Caenorhabditis elegans: one gene and its partners. The protein of the gene in region 3 purifies or fractionates together with the protein of the main gene of each other region. This does not show direct contact. Each region holds a gene or a part of one and is shown on either strand. Other genes may lie near its edges.

Region 1 (8,024 bases), on a different chromosome or scaffold from region 3:
GTAGAATACGTCATTGCAACCGTCGGCGTAGTTTCCGTCTTCCAGACCGTTGCAATCGAAGTCAATTGAATCCGGCTGCTCGTTCGACGGTTGACGTTCGTAATCTCCAGCAATCTCACCGGAAGCTTCTCCGTATCCTTCTTCACCATCTTCGTAGACTTGTGGTGCAGTAGTTGTGTCCTGTTTCACTTCGTCGCAAGATTCACGACAATCTTGGGTTCTTTCGTTAAAGACCAAGCTATCAGGACATTTCGCCATGTAGGCTCCGCCGGCGACGCAGCTGATAAACTGGTTAGAGCAGCCAATGGAGTAGATGCCATCCTGTTTCGATGTGCAGTCGAATTCCGCATATGGGGTGTCATCTTCTTCAGTGTTTTCATCTACTCGACATTCTGGAGATTCGTCGACTGGCACACATTCGTCTTCGTAGAAGACAGAATCATCGCTGCAGGTGGCTGCTTGCCTGACTCCGTTCACACATATCGAGTACTGAAAATAAAGAATTATATTTGAAACGGAGGGCTACTGGTTTACCTCCCGACTGCATGCATTTCCTGCTATGTTTCCGTTGAAGTATGCAGGGCATTCTGTGGCTGCTGGTGAGTGCGGGTATTGAATAGAATTCGAAACTGGAAAATAAAAATATTTGATTGAAAAGAAAGAGGCAGAAACTCACAAAATGTTAGTAGAAGCAGCGAGACGGTGGCTAGCTGTGGCCCCATCGCCTGAAATTGATAACAGTTAGAGGATGAATATTTTAACTTAAAAGTTTTACGAAATAAAAACAGAAAAGGTTCAAAATGGTCGCCATTTCAGGAGAAACTAATAAAAATTAGAGCTAATGAAGAAGGAATGAAATGGAACATTCGAGGTTGAAAACTCAATCCAAAAAATTTCCCGCTCGAGCCTAAAACTGGGGTCAAATAATTTTTGATCTACTGCACTTTTACATGTCTGAAATGGGTATTGGCATACATTTGCTCAATTTTATTCTTTAAAAATTAATTTTAGATCATAAAATTAATGAAAACAAACAAAATATTATGAGAAAATTCAAGATATTTTCAAAATTAAGAAAAACTAAAGAATTGTGCGGCCCAAAAATAACAGAGTACGGTATTAGTTAGCAATCGTGGCGAGACCCAACTAACAACATACATGATCCTTTAATACCAACCGTTTCCATTTTCCAAAATATGTTTTTTTGGTTGATTTAATTTTAATTGCATCCAATTTTTTGTTAATTTTCTGAAACAAAAAAATTAACTTCTAAAAATTCATAGTCGGTTTAAATAATTATAACTTTAAATAGAAAGTTTGGACATTAGCGGCTTACTTGACTACGGTATGCAAAAGTACGCAAAGACACTTCACGTCGTTTTGCAGATCCACGGAAAATCAATTTTTTTTTTGATTTTTAAAATCATCGTTTCGTTTTCCTTCGGGAATAGCGAAATTAAGGTTTTTAATGAACTTTTTTCCTCGCTTCTTTCAATAGCTATTAGTAGAATTTGTGTATTCTCTGTTTTCTCTGTCCGCGCGACATAACTTGAAAAAACATTGTCTGATTTCTTAAACATATAACAATTAGTGTTTTATTTTCTTTTTGATATTTTTCTTAAACATTTTTAAATAAGAAGCTTCTATTTTTTCGAAAATTGGTGCGATGAGTTCACTTTTTGATATTGAAATATTTTGAATTACTCCTCCCAAATTGGGAGTCCCAATTTTTATATGCGGAACATTCTAAGGAACATTCATTCTGCCATTTTTCTTTTCCGTTCGATATCGGTGTTTCTAGCTGTCTGAATTACATCAAGACTACTCTTTTAAAAACTTTCACTTCCTCCTATTTGTTCGAGTGCAAAGGAGCGCACTTACTCCCTGTTCAGCTGCTCTCATTCATCCACGTCAACGTTACAGCTAAAGTTACAACAATTGCTCATTAAACGGAACACGATCGATGAGCTCGAAGCTCTACTCACGTTCCGGCGTATTTGTCTGGAGTCCACGTGGAATTCAGAAAAAGGTAATTAATCAATCTTCGTCTATAATTGAAATAAATCAAATTTTCAGGGCTTAATTGTTGCTGATTTCGCTCAGTTTTTTGACCCGACTGCAACATCAATCGAACCAAAGATCGATTTTTTGCCAGCAAGTGAGATATATGAAAAATCGAATTTGGCCCCGAATGTGTCGCATGCCACTAATTATCGGTGAGAATTATAATGTGAAGCGGTATAGTGTATTTCATAATTTTAGATTCAATGAATTAGCCTGGACTTCTCTGTGTTCCGATGCACATCCGAACGGAATAATTGCTGGCGGTACAGAGGACGGAACTGTGGTATTTTTTGATGCTGATAAATTTATCAAGAATCAATCACTAGAAGTTCTTCTTTCTCGAAGAGATCATCATGGGCATGTTCTCACTATTGATGTTTCCAGGGACGGCAGGTATGAAATGAAAGTTTACAAGAACAATTCAAAAAAATAATTTTTAAGATGGATGGCTTCTGGTGGAGGCTCAGGACAAATTCTTCTCTGGGATTGCGCAAATCTGAAAACACCATTCTCTCCCGGTTCGCCAAATTTCCCAGATCAAGTGAAACTTCTTCGCTGGAACTTGAAGAACGAGTCTGTGTTTGCTTCCATATCGTCCAGAAGAGTCAGTTTTTGGGATTTGAGAAGAAATGGATCGCCGGTGTTAGAATTCGCAGAGGTTGGATTTTCAATTGCCTGGTGGCTATTAAAGTTCTATTTGCAGATTCCTGGCTGTGATTGGTCTTCGCTCTCTTGGAATCCTTCGGACGCCTCACAACTTATAGTTTCCAGCCAATCTCAACACGCCTCTGTTATTCAGAAATGGGATTCGAGATTCACTTCAACACCAGTTAAAGAATACAGACATCATAATATGGGAATTACGAGTGTTGACTGGTAAGTTTTTATTTAAAAGTTTGTTGATTATATAATAAAAATTGAGCTAGACAATTTATTTTTGTACAAAAAACTATATAAAAATTACGAAAAATATTAATACAGGAACAAAGCTGATGATCGTCTTGTAATTTCATCTGGCTGTGATGGACAAGTGGTTATATGGAATCACGAAACATCTGAGGTGCTTGGAGGTGTTGGAAGTCTTCAAGGAGACTGGATCCGAAATGTTAAATGGAATGAAGAGGAGCCATCACAATTTGCTATTCAATATTTCCAACATCCTGTTCAAATATCCTCATTGACTAGTCTTGGATCTCCGCAACCAGGAGCCGATGTACTTGCCGCTAGGATCTCCGATCAATTTGTTCCTGCATGGCACCGTGCTCCCTTAATTGGCTCATCAATAGCATTAGGTGGACGGTTGGCAACATTCTGGAAGTCCTACGATGCAATGACCCAACAATGGCACCATAATGTGGAAATTGAAACGGTATTGAAATTTTATAACAAATCTCGTTTTTGACTAGCGGGCCCTATGGGGCCCGCTAGTAGAGGTTGGGTTGGGGCGAGTCCGCTAGCTGGCGCGGGTTCTCGGCTTCGCCTCGAACGTGCGATTGGCAATGTTTTGGGTCTCGCACCGCAGGCCTACGGCCTGCGTGGCTTCCTGAACCAGTATAGCAGGCCTTCGGCCTGCTATAATAGAACAAAAATATGTAAGTAATCAAATATACTGTAGGGATAGTCAAAAAGGTTGCCACAGGCAAGAATTATTCAAAACAATTGCAATTGTATGTACATGTACACGTGGACAGCCAAAGACGACATGTTTGAGGGGTTTATGGTGGGGTGACGATGTGTCGAGTAGAAGAATATCTCCACTATATGACTGATAATTCAAATATGTTGATTTTTGGGAAGAGTTGGGTACCCAGGTGAGTTGAATAATACAACTACCACTGGCGGATGAGGGGAAGGAGGGGGCCGGGCAAAGACTTTTCAAACTTCGACGCGTCGTAACTTTGTTCATAGTAGGAATTGAAAAATTAAAAGTATATACTTGAACTCAGCGTTAAAAGGAGAATATGATAGCATTTGAAATTTTAGAAATTGGTGAAGAATGAACTTTTGAGCTTCCTAAGCATGGCCTGAAGCCTACAACTTCAGGAACGGGGCTCGAGGAACTCATGACCAAAAAATTTTAGTTTGTCTCGCTTCTCATAGCAAAAATAATAAGAATTAGGACATAAAATTCATTATCCAACAGAAAACTGGTCCAGGAAAAGAGGAAAATTGAAATTTCGAGGTCAAAAATTAAATAAACTAAATTCGTTGAAAATGATCGTAGAGGACTGTGCTTTCAGCTTGCATTCGGTATTTATGTACTAATTACGAATTTAACATAAAATCCCATTCGGTAGTGGAAAATTTTTTATTTTTCCAGCAAAAACGTCATTTTTTTGAGAAAATGCAGAAATTTGCGATTTCTGAAGTTATTTTTGACTTTTTTGTAAAAAAAATTATATTTTTGAAGAGTAAATTTCCTGAAAAATACGTTTTTCGAAAAATTTACCCCAAAAAGTGCCAAACTGACCGACTTACAGCCGAAAGAATCTCAAAAATCACTAATTTGCACACCAAGGGGTTGCGCACAATTTCATTGAAAAATCGTCAATTTATGCTTTTTTCGTAACTTTCCGGTTGGATAATGAGAAAACTATTTAGAAAAACGGAATCTACGTTAAAATTTACATTTGATAATGTAAAATAAAACAAAAATACGAACGTTAAACATGTTTTCAACGCAATTTTCGAAATTCCGGGATTTTTCGAGTCCGATTTTCAAATCATCATAACTCAGTTCAAAATTGATGAAATTGCAAAAACTAAAAATTTTTATCAATCCCAGATATACAGTTACCTTATCAAAAACATTTTATACTATGACCTCTAAACGTGTGCAAAAAAAGCGACACTACACGCGAAAAAAGTGATTTTTTCGTGTTTCATCAAGAATTTCTCTTAAAAGATGAAATCAAATCAAATAACCATTTAGATAATAAGATAGAAAAAGCGATTCTCTATTTCCTACAAAAAAGAAAATTAAAAAATGTGCAGGTACAGCAAAGTTACAGACGAAAGTGCACACCCAACTTTTTAAATTTTTTGTTACACTTTTTGCGCAAAAAGTGACGACCCTTGCACTTTCCGGATTTAATATAGGAAGAAGGCAGAAGTTTTTCTATTTTCAGATAGTTCCAGAAAACGATGTTGGTGTCAACGACATTGCTCAGTATCTACATATTAAGGATGATAAACGAAACTTAGGATGGTATCTTCATGAGAGGTAATTATATTTTCAGATTAAAATTATCAAAATTAAAAACTTCAGAGCATATGCCCCATCAAGCGATACTTCAGAAGAAGCAGATCTTACACGAAAAGTTTGGCTTATTCTTCTCGCGCTACAGGAAGGAGCTGGACGCACAAAGATGCTAAATTATTTAGGACTTGTAGAATCACAGGATGAGGAGTTTTCCGAGAAGAACGCAGCATCAGCAGTCTCAAATCCAAATATTCAACCTACGGCAATACCTGATAGATCTGCTCGTTCAACTTCTGTTGTTTCCGGCGCAGACACTGACATTGATATTCCGGAAGTAACAGTCATTGAAAGATGTTCTAGTGTTAATTGGTCGACTTTGGATAACTCAGGATGGGATCTTCTTCTTCATACAATTCGACAAGATCATCTTGAAGTCATTCGTGTTCTAATCTCCTCAAATCAACACGTAGCCGCAATGATGTACGCTGCTCAACACGAAACAGATCATTTGGCAATGATTCTTGATGATTATAATAAAAGTAATCGTTTTCGAGCTGTATATTGTAATTATAATTTGAAATTTCAGAATTCAACAACTCGAGTCCTCTATCTTCTATAATTCTTGCACTTTCATCGTCCTCGTCGGCTAACAAAACAGAAATCACTCCTTCAAAGCAATCATCTGAACAAGAGGTTTCTCAGCAAATTGGAAGTATTCTCCAAACTTTCCCCGATCAAAAGTGGTCAGAGCTTCTTGGCTTCATAATTGCTCACGAATCAAATGCGACAGATATCAGATTAGCAGCAAAATGCATTGGAAAGCGATGGTTGGAACAAGGAAGTTAGCGAATTTTAAAATAATACATCATAGATTCAATTTGTTTCCAGAACCTCTCCGTGCTTGTATTGCTTTTTTGATTGCCGGAGACATTGATCATCTCTTACTTGCCAATACATCCTTCACACTAGTGGATCGACTGAAACAGGCTTTAATACTTCATCAAGTATCGAAAGGTGCCAAGTATTCGGATGGATTAGAGAAGGTAGAAAAATCAAGATTATCTCCAAACTCGTAAACGATAATTTTTAGCTAATCATGAACTTCGCCAATGAACTTCTCATTCAAGGCGCAGGTTCCGTCGCATGGAATTTGGTTAAGTGGTCTCAAAATGGTTCTGCTGAAATGCAAGAGCTTCAATGGACTTGCTATAATGTTGCCGGAGGTCGAGATTGTACAGGGGATCAACCACCATTTAATCCGTTTGATGTCGCTCTACCTAGAGCTCAACAGCCACCCATTGTTCAACCGACACGGACATATCAACAACCGGCACCTATTCCCCCACCGGTATTTGTTAGTTTACTTTAAATTTATATATTTATCCAAAATTTAGAATCTCGTAAATGGTTTTAACCCGTATAATCCATCTCATTCTCAATGTCCACCACCTCCTATGGATTACTCGAATAATCGAAGAAATTCCAATTTGACACCAATGCCACCATCTTCCACTTTTTATCAGACACCATCATGGGATCATAAACCAGTGAGTTTTTATAATATCCGGAACAGAATCATAGTTTCTTTTCATTTCAGCCACCAACAATGCCAGCGAACATGCCACCATCTAAACCAGTTGCTCCAGTTACTCCCGGTTGGAATGATCCTCCTCCAATGGCTTTGAAGCCTACCACTGTTGCCCAGCCAAAGCAAAATGTGATGGAAATCAATTGGAAACCTATAGAAACTGCCCAAGCTCCTGGTGGAATGATGACTGGGCAGCAGTTGAACGGATTTGCAGGAGGGTATCAAAATGTGATGACTAATGGAATTCAAGGTAATACTCTAAATTCTTCAATTTGTGCATATATCTATATTTTCAGGAATGAGTATTCACAATCAACAATCATCTGCAGCGTCTTCAGCTTTTCCATCTCCAAACTCTTATCAACAGAGACCGGCTTCTGCAGCATCCGTTGTAGCTCCAGCTCCAATCCAATTATCACCGGAAGATGAGAAAATTATTGAACCCATTAATACATTGGCTCAGTGTATCATTGAAAATGCCAGAATTCAGGCTAGAATGGAAAAAGCTCAGGATTTGAGAACTCGTATTCAGGCAGAGCTCTCACCGCGTCTTGCTGCGAATAGGGTACGGTTTCATTAATTTTCAAAATAATTTGAAATCTAAATATTCAGTTGTCTCCCGAATCGAAGCAGCATCTAACTCATATGGCTTACTTTGTTTCCATGCGGCAGATTCGTGAAGCTCAAGCAGTTGTGGCACAAATGGCACGGAATTCAGGAGATTTTGTTGAGGTGAATTTTGTATTATGATTTATTTAACAAAAATGGAAAGCCAATTCGTATTGTTTTATATGTAAAGCACAGTGAATTGTTCTCCAAAAAGAAATAATCTCTTCATTATCTTATTTGTTCAACTCGTCTTTTTTGCAGATTTCGTCGTTCCTTCCGGCTCTAAAGTCGCTTCTTTCGCTCGCCTCTCATTAATCTTCTCCGCGTCATAATGAGAGTGTTGCCTTCATTGTTATGTGATTTTGATTATCAATTATCAAAAATGCCAACATTTTGAATATATTATATTTCATTTGCTTCGTGTGTAAAATCGTGTAAACTGTTTTGTCCCAAATAATTATTGCGTGTAATACGACTTTCCAATACCCCCAAAAATTCCTGCCAATACTTAAAATTAGATATTGCTTTATAGTCCCAAATTTTCTTACTGCTTTGTAATCA
Region 2 (4,776 bases), on a different chromosome or scaffold from region 3:
TATTTCTACTAATTTCCGAATTTTTATTCACTTTGAACGCTAAAAACTCTGAAAAACAGAGAAAATCTACGAATTTTTAATGGTTTTTGTCAATTTTTTGCAGAATATTCTCATTTTCTGTCTTGTTTTTCACTTAAAACCAAAAGAAAAATCAAAAAATTCGAAAAAATCGAAGAAAAACGAGTGAAAATCGATAATCGTGATTTTGGGCGCTGCTTAGACTACAAACTACACGTTTTGGGCGCTGCTAATTCAATTTTGGGCGCTGCTTAGACTACAAACTACACGTTTTGGGCGCTGCTAACACTACAAACTACACGTTTTAGGCGCTGCTAATTCAATTTTGGGCGCTGCTAAGACTACAAACTACAAGATTTGGGCGCTGCTAATTCAATTTTGGGCGCTGCTAAGACTACAAACTACAAGATTTGGGCGCTGCTAATTCAATTTTGGGCGCTGCTAAGACTACAAACTACAAGTTTTGGGCGCTGCTAAACTACAAACTACACGTTTTGGGCGCTGCTAAACTCATTTTCTTGGTATTTTCTCCGATTTTCTTCATTTTTTCGCTGCTTACATTGAGATTCAGCTGATATTTCTCAATATACGGCCTTGTAACAGTCTCATAAAGCTCTGGAGTCTCTCGAATCACGAATTTCTCCTCCTGACGGTATTTTGCAATGAGACGATCGTTTATCGGGTAGATTAGTTGAGATTTTAGCACTGAAAATTGAATTAAAAATTAATTTAAGCAAGATTGTGTGGATTACAATTCAATTTGGGATCGATTTCTATATTATAGGACCCGAAAATGTCATTTCTGGAGATTTCTTGAAGCTGTGCAGTCGCCAGAAGCTTCTCGATATCGGATTTTTCTTCGGAAAACGGAGACTTGTTGGCAAGCAGAATGCCTTGAGATCCATCGGGATGGGAGAGCAAAACGAAGAGAGACTGGAAGAAAATATTGATTTTTATGATTTTTAGGTGAAATTTATTGTTTCTTAATGCAAAAAATTCACTTTTTATTGATTTTCTCACCTTATGCGACGAATCAGCGCCTAAAATCTCTTGAAACTTGGCATCCTGCAGCCATTTCTGTGTACTCTCCTCTGCACGCTCCTCTCGCACAAGTTCCTCGTCGGCGATCCGTTTCATACTGAAAAATCGAGATTTTCACTTATTATTCACCAAAAAGATACAGAAATTGCAACGAAAAACGGTAGAAATCGAGAAAACCAACTCAAAAAACATTTTCAAAAGTGTCACGCATCGTAAAACAACACACTGGCCGCGGCCTAGAAAACTCCAATTCTTTTCTCGGCCATCTTCCTCCACGTGTACATTTTCTGTTGGAATTTTGCAGATTTTCACTCGTTTTTCACCATTTTTTCTGATTTTTCTTGCTAAAATATTGAAAATAAGTCGATTTTTATTGATTTTAGTGTAAAAATCATAGTTTTCACCTTGCATATGTCGAAAAAATGACGAAAATTGATTGGGCAACCATAAAAACCCAAAAAACTCGATTTTTCGCTATTAAACGTGATTTTCAGTGTTTTATATTAATAAAATTAAAATTTAATGGTGAAAAACCAGAATTTCACACGTAATCCACGTATTCTCCTCGTTTTTCATCATTTTCCGCGATAAAAAGTTCATTACCAGTTTATTCCAGTAAAAATGGCCACTTGGGAAGAATATTTGGGTGCTCAACAGGCGAACGATGGCGTCCAATTCACGTGGAACATGTGGCCACACAGTCGAGTGGATTCTCAGAAGCTTGTCGTCCCGCTCACCTGCTTTTTCACGCCGCTGAAGGTAAAACTGAGGCGCGGAAACTGGATTTTCTTCGAATTTTTCGTGGAATTATTGAATTTTAAGCATTGAAAATTGGATTTTGTAGCTGCCGAGCAGCGCCAAAAGCTGAGGAAAAGCCTATTTTCAGCAATTTTTCTTCAAATCCATCGAAATTCCATCAATTTTCTCCGAATCTTTGCAAATTTTAGTGGATTGCTTCATTTTTTGCCAGAAATTCGTTATAATCTTCTAAAAATTCAAATTTGGTAGCTGCTCGAGCCGATCGGCAGCTTCGAAACACCGAAGGCATGAATTTCAGCAATTTTTCGATTAAAAACGCGATTTTTTTCTCAATTTCCATCGGAATTTCTGCATTTTTACCTTAAAAAGTCGGTAATCTCTGCAAAAATCGTAAAATTCCGCTGAGAAACGCAAAAAAAAAATTCAATTTTGGGCGCTGCTTAGACTACAAACTACAAGTTTTGGGCGCTGCTAATCCAATTTTGAACGCTGCTAAAACTACAAACTACAAGTTTTGGGCGCTGCTAATTCAATTTTGGGCGCTGCTAAACTACAAACTACACGTTTTGGGCGCTGCTAATCCAATTTTGGGCGCTGCTGAAACTACAAACTACAAGCTTTAGGCGCTGCTAAACTACAAACTACAAGCTTTAGGCGCTGCTAATCCAATTTTGCGGAGTTCAAGCCGATTTTAAGCTGAAATTTCACGATTTCTCATCAAATTTCTCTCAAAAACCAAATTTTTTTTCCAGGAGCGCCCATCAACAGAAGTCGCCCAACCACCACTGGAATATGATCCGGTTTTGTGCCAAAAAGCCAGCTGTAAAGCGATTTTAAACCCACTTTGGTGAGTTTCAGGCCTTTTTTTGCCCGATTTTCACCCCGAAAAATGATGCTTTCAGCGCCGTCGATTATCGCGCCAAAATCTGGATGTGCCCATTCTGCAACAATCGGAATCCGTTCCCGGCTCATTATGCGGCAATTGCCGAGGATAACCGCCCGCCGGAGCTCTATCCACAATTTACAACCATTGAGTACACGCTTCGAGTGAGAAAATGCTGAAAAATCCGAGTTTTAAGCCAAATCTTTATTCCAGAAAGCCACCACAATGCCGCCGATCTTCGTTTTCGTCGTCGACACGTGTATGACTGCAGAGGAGCTGAAATCGCTGAAAGAATGCCTTCAAGTACGGGACAAATTGCAGAAAATTGAGAAAAAAACGGCGGTTTTTTAAAATTTTCGCGGAAAATTGCTCGAAAATTCGTCGGTTTTCCAACTCAAAATTTGTGATTTTTTCACTCAAAAATGGGAATTTCTGCTGAAAAATGGGAATTTCTGCTCATTTTCGCTTGAAAATTCGACTTTTTTAAACATAATAGTGTTATTTTTCATGAAAATTGGCAATTTTTGCCGTAAAATTCAGATTTTTGGGCAAAATTTCCCAATTTTTCCAATTTCAGACTGCTCTCTCGCTGCTCCCAGCCGATGCTCTCGTCGGATTGATCACCTACGGTAGAATGGTCCAGCTGCATGAGCTCAACACTCAGGGAATCTCGAGAAGCTACGTTTTCAAGGTAATAAATTGCAGGGAAAATTGGATTTTTTGGGTTAGAAGCCTGAAAAATGCCGAAAAATGCCAAAAAAAAAACACTAAGTAAATGCAAAATGAATAGCGAAAAATTAGAGAATTATTGAAAATTCTCGGATTTCAGTGAACAATTCGAACAAAACAAGACTATACACTTTTTAATTCAATTTTCCATCCAAAATCTTATAATTCTATTCATTGGTTACTAGTATAGTAATTCAATTAAATAATGCGCTCAATATGCTCAATTGACCAGTTTTCTCGAAAAAGTAGGATTCTTCATTAAAAATAGATGTTAAATTAAATGTTATACTATATATATAGTTGTTCTGAAACGTTAAAGCTCTAAAATGCGGAATAGTTAAAGGTGGTGTCGTCGATTTTTTTCAAATTGCTTTATTTAGACTCAAAATTGTCTGAAAACACCGAATTTCATAATAAAACTTCTTGAAAACTTTTCAAAAAAAGGTTATGACGGCTCAAAAAATGGCCTAAAATTAGTTAAAATCGGAAATTTGACTAACTTATCAATGTCGCAGCGGCTGGAAATTTTTTTTTTTGAAATCATCGTTAAATTTTGAGTTTACAAGTTGATTATCTTGCGTTTTAAACTTGATTAAGCTATTTAAAAATCGATGGACGGCGAGTTTATCGATAAAAAAAATTAAAAATCTCGCCGTACATCGATTTTTAAATACCTTAATCAAGTTTAAAACGCAAGATAATCAACTTGTAAACTCAAAATTTGACGGTGATTTCAAAAAAAAAGTGTTTCCAGCCGCTTGACAAGTCGGTCAAATTTCAAATTTTAACTAATTTTAGGCCATTTTTTGAGCCGCCATAACTTTTTTTTGTCAAGTTTTCAAGAAGTTTCATTATGAAATTCGGTGTTTTCAGACAATTTTGAGTCTAATAAGGCAATAAAAAAAATTCGACTACACCACCTTTACCTATTCCGCAGAGCTGTAACGTTTCAGAACAACTATATATATAGTATAACATTCAATTTAACATTTATTTTTTATGAAGAATCCTACTTTTTCGAGAAAACTGGGTCAATTGAGCATAAGTAGCGCATTATTTAATTGAATTACCATACTACTAACCAATGAATAGAATTATAAGATTTTGGATGGAAAATTGAATTAAAAAGTGTATAGCCTTGTTTTGTTCGAATTTTTCACTGAAATCTGTGAATTTTCAATAATTTTCGACTACACCACCTTTAAGTTAATAGGTTAATTAACGACTATACACCGACTATACACTTTTTTATTCAAACTTCATAAGACATATTGAACATGTTATTATTATTATTATTATTATTATTATTATTATTATTCAGTTGTATTATATCATTAATATTATTT
Region 3 (7,680 bases):
TGGTGATAAAATTACTGAATAAAATTACTGAAAACATTTAAACTTTTCAAAAAAGTTGATATGTATATGGTCAAAAAATATTTATCAAAAAGCAACATTTTAGAACTGACAAAAAGACAAAATACTGACGGTACTCCATCTTTGAGGTCATCAATTTTCAGACTGCGCCCACCACTTCCTCCACCACTTACCATTTTCTGTCTCATTTGCTCGGCTTGTTGTCGCTTCTCCAACTCATTCTCCGGTTTCTTCTCAGACTTTGATCATCCTGATTTCGAAGCGAGAGACAAGTGCAGAACCACGTGGAAATTTGGATCAATCTACCGTAACCCATCTGTTCCATTCAAGAGAAACGAGTTTGTGAACTCATTCTGGAGAAAGCTTTCGATGGAACAATGGAAAAATACACAGCAGAAAGCGAAGATATCAGCAAACAAATCAGAACTTCAGGAACTTCATAATATTCATGTAAGATTTATTTTTTTAAACACAAGTTTAAAACTGAAAATAATTTCAGAACCACATTCGAATGATGACTTTGCGAGATTCATATGAAAATTCGGGTACACGAAAAGCTTCAGAACTTCAATTTTTCGAGAAATACCCAGAAAGTAACATTCTGAAGATTAGTGTGAACATGGTGTCTAAGCCATGGACAGTGCTTGTACCTAGATACAATCCCCCCTTCTATTGTAAGCCTGCGGAAGATTTTCCATCAGATGTGCAAAAGTATGTTGATATTGCCACGGAGCAAAATGTTGGAGAACTAAAACGAATTTGGAGAAGCCGTCAGGCAAATGATGTTACTAGTAGTAATGATAAATGTTGGAAGCTCTCAGCTGCCGGCTTCCCATTGAATCCGAATGGTCGAACTGGAATGGCTGGAAGAGGAAATCATCCGAGATTTGGTGCTAATCGACGTTGTTATTATGTCGTTTTGAGTGGTGGAGTTGAAGCGAAATGTCAAGTTCTAGTTGATAGTCAGAAGAATATTCCAAATGAATGGCATCTGGAGAACTCGTCGAAAGATGAACATCTGACATCTATTTTGAAGATGATTGGAATTTCAGATTCTGACGCTCATGTAAGTAACCAAAAAGATTACTTTTAAAAATTTGTGATGTATTTTCAGATGTTTTCAATGCGACGTTTGGATAGCTCAATTATCACTGCGGACAAAAGAATACCATCCAATGACACGAGTCCTGCTCATTTGGCTTCAGAAGTTGCAGAAAATGAAAACGATACAGACAACGCGTGGACGGAGCATGATGTTTGGGCTATTTCTCTCCGAGAACGACGTATAATAACCACAATTATCGGTTATTCGTGGCTTCCTACGAGTGCAATTCGTGGAACAGTGCTTCCATGGCAAGCAGATCTTGTTTTCCGAGCAAAGACAATATACGGGTTATAATGCTACAACTTTCATAAATTATGAATTCACTTAAATTGTTATTCGATGTTTGTTTTTTAAAGCTGATAGCTAAGAGATAATTTAATAAAGCTTGGAAGAATAAAAATAAAGCACTCACCAAAACACATATAATGAGAGGCCTAACAAAAAATGTAGGGGTACTGTAGCAGTTTTGAAACAAATTTTTCTAAATATTGTAGAGCGATTGTTGGTTAGGTTTGCGGAGTGTTGTGCAGTAAAACTGTAAGAACTGTCGCGAATGCGGAGAACCAAGAATACTTCTCCTTGTCGCCACTTTATTACTTAATATTATTTCCTTTAATTTAACACAATTATTATGTATATTCATTAATTAATTATCGTCATCTTCCTTGTTTTTCCCGTTATTTTTGGTCCGTTTAGGTGTGACACGGAGATAAAAGATACCTTAGCAAAATAAGTTCTTTTCGTGAAAAAACAAATCTTCGTATTTATTAAACAACTTTGTTTCTGTTAACAAATAAATAAATCCTTGCTTTCGATTTTACGATTTTGTGGCTACGGTACACAATGTTCACTCCGCAAGCACCGAAACTGACGACAGTTTTTCTATCAGTTATTTTTTTCATTCAACCTCGAACTTTTTTCGCGTTTATTCATTTCTCGCGTGAACTTTTTGTCTTATTTTATTTTTAAGCTTGGCTTCACGTGGCACCGCGCTTTTAACACATCCGTGCGGCGTTTTGAATTGAACTTTAAATTGGAAATTCCCAAAAACCCACGATTTTTATGGATTTCGAATGGAAAATGCGGCGATACAGGGTAAGATTTCCCAAAATTGTAATTTTAAATCTTAAGGCCATTAAGAAAACAAGTAAAAACCGAATTTATTTTACCATTTGGAAGAATAAAAAACAAAATTCATATCATTTTCCCATTCACTTTCACCTGTTCGTATCACTTCCAACAAAGGAAAACTGAACTATTCTTGTTTTCAATTTTCCCATTTTCCCATATTCCCCACAGCAGCCCTTTCCGTGCATTTTTGCGTCGCCGTGTTGGCACTAAAGTGACACGGTTGACCTCAATTTGCCCCTTCTTTTCTTTTCTTCCCTTGTCTTCTGCCTCTCTATATTTACCCAACAGACTTTAACATCTCGACACTTAACTTGTATATTCGCCTAATTTATTACAGATCGATTCTATGAAGTATGAACAACGAATGAATGCCGGAGGTATGATAAAATTCGATTTATCAACAATTTTTATCAATCACTATTCATTTTCAGCTTCTGGTTTCGATATGAGTGACTGGAATAATCCTTACAATGCTTCACCTCCGTCTTCTAGAGGAGGCGATGATGACGCTTCATCCGTTAACCATTCAAGGTCAGTGAATACAAGAATTTCACACGCCGATCGATATCTTTTCATCGCTTTTTTTTCAGGCCTCGACGCAGTCGGCTGGACAACGATATTCCACAACCAAGAAGACCCATTCTTATTCAACCAGCTCGCCCAGTATCTCAAAAGAGTAACCGGCAGGGTACTGGAATGAGTAATGGTTCAAGAGGCCTCAACTCAACTTTCAATGGATATGACCGTACTTATTCAAGGTTTAAAACAAGGGAGTTTCTTCTTCTAATTATGGAAATTTGCAGATATCACCAAAACTCTTCACGTGGCCCAAGCGAAGGTTTCTCTGGTGCTCCTTCAGCTCGAAATGCATCTGGATATGCGAGTGATTACGCGAATAGTCGTGCTGGTGTGGGATTGCTGCCGAACAACCACCGTGAGCCTGTGAGACCACGATCAACTGCTGCTGAAAGATATGCGAACGCATCTTCAATGAGAAATGGTTTTGTATATGATAGTGGAGAGTCTGATAAGACTTCAGAAGAGCTGGAAGAAGACGAAGAAGAGGAAGAAGTACGAAATTTTTATATGGAAGGACGAGCACAAGGCTCCAGGAGTGTAACAAATACCCTTGCCTCTGAAGTTTATAATAGCGAAAGTGAAAGCTATTACTACGGAGTTGTGAAACTTGGCTCTGCTATTGTTGATCATGTGTTCCGAACGATGCCTCCTCCGGAAAAATACTATAAGATGCCGCCAATCGACCGTGTCGCTTATGTATTCTACTGTGCCGTTAATAACAAACCTTACAACAATATTGATGAGTTTCACGTAATTTTTAATCGTGAATTCTACTCCTACCGCGGGTATGGTGATTCTAAAGATCTGGCACTTTTTAAGGTAAGATTACTGACAAAATTGAATTGCTTCATATTTTAAATTACAGGTTTGCAAGCGGATGCAAGAAGAATTCTCCCTGAAGCAACTGGAAGCCGACAGATTGGCGTACGAAAAAGCACGACAAGAAGCTGCAGAGAGCGAGAAACTGGATTTCAATCAGTGAGTATGGAACCAACGGTACAATGAGCAAAAATATTATTATAGGCATAAAATCGAGGAACGCGAAGAGCCAAAACTTAACATCTCGCAACCCGAAGAAGTGTTGAGCAACGGACCACTTCATTATCACTCCTGCCTTCAGTTTGCTACCATTGGTGTTGGAGGAAAATTGGTGATCATTAAACCAGCGGGAACCATCGATAGTATCACTGGACATGTTCTAAGTACATCCAGCGTTCATGTGGATGATCTGAAAACATTTCTTCATTTCGATGAACAATCTGGAAAAGTGATCGAATCAGTTCAGAACTTTAAAGGACCACTGATTGCTGGACAAACTCCAACTCATTCCGTTCGTCTCTACATCCAACGACAAATCGACGCTCTTCGCCAGATCAGAAATGCTGGTGACGTAAAGAAAAGTGAGGTGGTGGATGCTCTTCTCGTCTGGCAATTGCTCGAAATCATGGTTCAGCAACATGGAGTAAGAATTGTTTTAATTTGAGAACTTAGTAGGAATTTAACATTTTAAGAGAGTCACCGGACCCGATGTAGCAACACTGCTGACAAATGCCTCGGAAGAACTTGGTGAAAAAACTGGAATTTCAAGCAATGGGACATCCGAGTCTGGTTCGAAGTTCGAAGCAAAGGAGCGGTTCAATAAGTATCTTCTTGGTGGTCACATTAATGTAATTTTGTCTAATCTTGTTAATTAAATAATTATAATTTTTCAGGAAGCTGTTGAAAGTGCTATAACCGATGGACTCTATGCCGACGCAATGACATTGATCCGTAGACTGCATCCAAATGACGCTAAGAAAATTGAGGAAATCGAGGCACGATTTATGAATCTTCGTTCCATTGACGATCCATTCGCAACACTGGTTGCAGTTTCAAGTGATCAACCACCTCCGATTCTGACGAATTCGGCGTTCGATGATGACAACAATTGGAAACGACATGCGGCCATTGTTCTTGCGAATCTAAACTCGCAGACCGCTATGCAAACGGTACGGCAGGAGAAAAGCAAAACTAAAACTGTAAAATTTTTTTCAGATCTATCATCTCGGCTTGCTCCTAGCAAAAAGAGAACGAAACTGTGCTGCTGATTTCTGTCTCCTTGTTGTATGCATTCTGGCTGGTTATGATCCATTTATTCCAGTGGCTCACGACGGAGATGAAACTTCGAGAAAGCACATCGGCCTTGTGCATAGTGGATCTAACTTGTTGAATCGAGTTGATGGACTATCAGGAACCGCTGGGTAAGATTACTTAACACAATATGCATAACATAAAACATGCTTTTCAGATTCTCATTCACTGATCTTCATGCTACTGATATTTTTGATTATGCTCTCCGACTGGGAAATAACAATGTCGATTCACCACTAGCAAAATCGATTGATTATCAGTTAGCTCGTATTGAATACGCAAAGAAGCTGTCGTCTTTTGGTGGATTTGCTACGGATGCGTTCAGATATTGTACAGAAGTAGCAAGATCGTTGTGGATGTATGTCGCAGCTTTCGATAAAAATGCAATGTTTGATCTTTGCGATCTGGCTGAGAGTCTTCAATACATGGCTGCCGCAACTCCTGATGAAAGTGGTTGGATTACAACTATGAGAGGAATGCTAGGTGCAGCTCCAGTTCAAGAATCTCAACAACATGTTCCACAGCCACAACCAGTGGAAAACAAATCTATTTCGTCTGAAGCTAAAAAATGGCATGATGAGCATCAAGCGCCGCTGGAGATTGGATCACGTAACGATCAACAACATAACGATAAAACTGTCGAGAAACCAATTGCACCCGGACGTGCTTCTTTGCCTCCACCTACCCTGGTTACTGAATCGTCATCTGAATCGACATTTACAGATAAATCCGATTCTTCGGTTACTGTCGCTGCGTCAGCATCAAGAACTTCAACGTTGACCTCATCCACTTTACCACCACCACCATCCCTTCCAAAAACTATCGAAAAACCAATCTCAACACCACCACCAATTTCTAAAAATGTTGTTCCTGAGATGACGCCTCCAGCGATTGTGAAGCCACCGATGCCAACGTTATCGATGCCTATTCCACCTGTCAGTACTCCAATCATGGTATCACCTCAACCTATTCCTATTCCGAAACCTGTTGACGCCAGCATTGCAAAAAGTCCTCGTTCGGAACTGGATGATTTATGGGACACTTCACCGCCAAGCAATCAAACTTCATATCCACCTGCACCGCGAAATATTCAACCATCTTATTCGCCTGCACCTAACTTTGCAAACCCAACAGCTCCAAGTGTACCAACACCACCACCAGCCGTTTCTTCTGCTCCGGTTCTTCAACAAGCAACACTAGGACAAGCATCTATTCCAAATGCTAAAACTGTGAGTTTTCTGTGAAACCTTCAGAATGACAAGTAATTATTTTTAATTATTAAAGACTGCGCCGCCTGTCCCACAGAAACAACCTGAACTTGCATTGAATGAACGAAAAGCATCTAAAGGATGGTTCGGATCGATTAAGGAAAAAGTCATCAAATCGATTCCATCAGCAAACCAAATGATCCTGCCTGACGATTCAAAGCCAAGTGTATGTTAATTTGAAAGCCGATTTTTTGAATATCAAATATTCATTTGTTCAGATCGTTTGGGATCCTGTTCAGAAAAGATATGTTGGTGCTGGAGTAGAAGAAGAGGTCGTAGCTGCTCCACCGCCAGTCATGTCAGCTCCTCATTTGATGGGTGGAGGTCCTGATTCTAACAAATCGAGCACGAATAGTCTGCGAAGTGCTAGAAGTGGAGTTGGATCACGATATCTTCAATCGGGAATGGCCACTAGCCAAGCACCAGCTATGGACACTGGAATGCCACCGATGATGCCTCCAACCATGCCAATGTCATTCAGCTTTATGCCTGCACCCACTGAAGGTATAATTAATTGAGAATTAGTTTTTTCTTCAATTAATTTCATTTTCAGATGATTCCTCCGAATATGTTGATCCATTCAGCGGTGAACCAACGGCTCCTTCCGAATCATTATCCAAACAGAATAACGATTAATATGCTTCAATTCTTCCAAATTATATGTGTTGTCGTCCCCATCGCCTTTTGTATCCCCCTCCCACCCACTATCATTCTTTCAAATAACCATTTCCTGTTATCTGGTCAGGCCCGTTTCCTCTAAAAACTTCTGTGATTATTCCATAGTATCTTCCTTCTTTTTTGTTGTGCAACTATATATGTTACGGTTTTATCTGAAAAATAAGTAGGCTAGTTTTTCTTTGTTCTGACGAGAAAATATGTGCTCTGAATTGATTCTCTGGTAAATAAATATATACTGAAATGAATAAATATAATGTACCGTGAAATCACTATTTGAATTTTACATTTGAAATCGAATTAAAAACAAAACAAAAAACTAATCGAATACCATTATTTCGCAAATTCGAAAATGTATCAACTGGACGTGAGTTTTCTCTTAATATTTCTGATTGATGTTCGAATATTTAAAGTCTTGGTACTCAGTGCTCTTCGAGCTTCTTCTCGTCGGTTTTTCTCTCTACAACTCGCTCAGAATGACTACTTGGTGGGATACCGTAGCCAGTAGGTCACAATTATTTTCAGGCAGTTTCCAGAAAAAAGATTTTCAGAAGGAGCATCTATCGCAGTGAATGGAGCAGCGAAACATTCACCTTCGGTCGCTGATCACTACGGTATTCGTACTGATAAAAATAGTGTTAGAAGCTATAGAAAGAGTAGCGTCGTGAGTTTTATTGAGACTAATTGAATAAATGTGTATATTTCCAAAATTTCAGAGATCACCAATTACGTTCGAAATGGGAGATGGGATTGAAGTAGCTCACTGATGGATCG

The links. Proteins that work in one complex are often made in the same cells at the same time.
Region 1: the proteins of sec-16A.1 (region 3) and sec-31 purify together in Caenorhabditis elegans (affinity purification with mass spectrometry, with the first as the bait; one study listed by BioGRID). This does not show direct contact.
Region 2: the proteins of sec-16A.1 (region 3) and sec-23 purify together in Caenorhabditis elegans (affinity purification with mass spectrometry, with the first as the bait; one study listed by BioGRID). This does not show direct contact.

What each region holds. Positions count from the first base shown.
Region 1 is NC_003282.8:11,365,692-11,373,715, reverse strand, and holds the start of sec-31 (WD_REPEATS_REGION domain-containing protein), read left to right. Parts: upstream 1-1,923; 5' UTR 1,924-1,963; coding exon 1,964-2,029; intron 2,030-2,076; coding exon 2,077-2,216; intron 2,217-2,262; coding exon 2,263-2,457; intron 2,458-2,505; coding exon 2,506-2,722; intron 2,723-2,767; coding exon 2,768-2,940; intron 2,941-3,045; coding exon 3,046-3,433; intron 3,434-5,192; coding exon 5,193-5,287; intron 5,288-5,332; coding exon 5,333-5,805; intron 5,806-5,852; coding exon 5,853-6,107; intron 6,108-6,154; coding exon 6,155-6,309; intron 6,310-6,356; coding exon 6,357-6,614; intron 6,615-6,660; coding exon 6,661-6,813; intron 6,814-6,863; coding exon 6,864-7,104; intron 7,105-7,150; coding exon 7,151-7,419; intron 7,420-7,466; coding exon 7,467-7,586; intron 7,587-7,724; coding exon 7,725-7,778; 3' UTR 7,779-8,024. Other genes in the region: Chitin-binding domain protein cbd-1, read right to left, coding at 1-489, 535-629, 677-722.
Region 2 is NC_003283.11:20,089,588-20,094,363, forward strand, and holds the start of sec-23 (Protein transport protein SEC23), read left to right. Parts: upstream 1-1,675; 5' UTR 1,676-1,680; coding exon 1,681-1,818; intron 1,819-2,570; coding exon 2,571-2,665; intron 2,666-2,720; coding exon 2,721-2,865; intron 2,866-2,914; coding exon 2,915-3,004; intron 3,005-3,278; coding exon 3,279-3,392; intron 3,393-4,665; exon of another isoform or gene 4,666-4,776. Other genes in the region: dcs-1 (m7GpppX diphosphatase), read right to left, coding at 578-723, 771-951, 1,039-1,155.
Region 3 is NC_003281.10:9,123,636-9,131,315, forward strand, and holds sec-16A.1 (Protein transport protein sec-16A.1), read left to right. Parts: upstream 1-2,203; coding exon 2,204-2,218; intron 2,219-2,591; coding exon 2,592-2,631; intron 2,632-2,685; coding exon 2,686-2,785; intron 2,786-2,844; coding exon 2,845-3,012; intron 3,013-3,057; coding exon 3,058-3,652; intron 3,653-3,698; coding exon 3,699-3,811; intron 3,812-3,856; coding exon 3,857-4,295; intron 4,296-4,344; coding exon 4,345-4,500; intron 4,501-4,545; coding exon 4,546-4,821; intron 4,822-4,867; coding exon 4,868-5,073; intron 5,074-5,120; coding exon 5,121-6,192; intron 6,193-6,247; coding exon 6,248-6,397; intron 6,398-6,449; coding exon 6,450-6,735; intron 6,736-6,784; coding exon 6,785-6,867; 3' UTR 6,868-7,172; downstream 7,173-7,680. Other genes in the region: Protein ced-11, read left to right, coding at 162-468, 518-1,084, 1,133-1,417; ZK512.10 (DUF4752 family protein), read left to right, coding at 7,259-7,273, 7,320-7,410, 7,458-7,570, 7,623-7,673. UniProt on the Caenorhabditis elegans protein: Plays a role in the organization of the endoplasmic reticulum exit sites (ERES), also known as transitional endoplasmic reticulum (tER).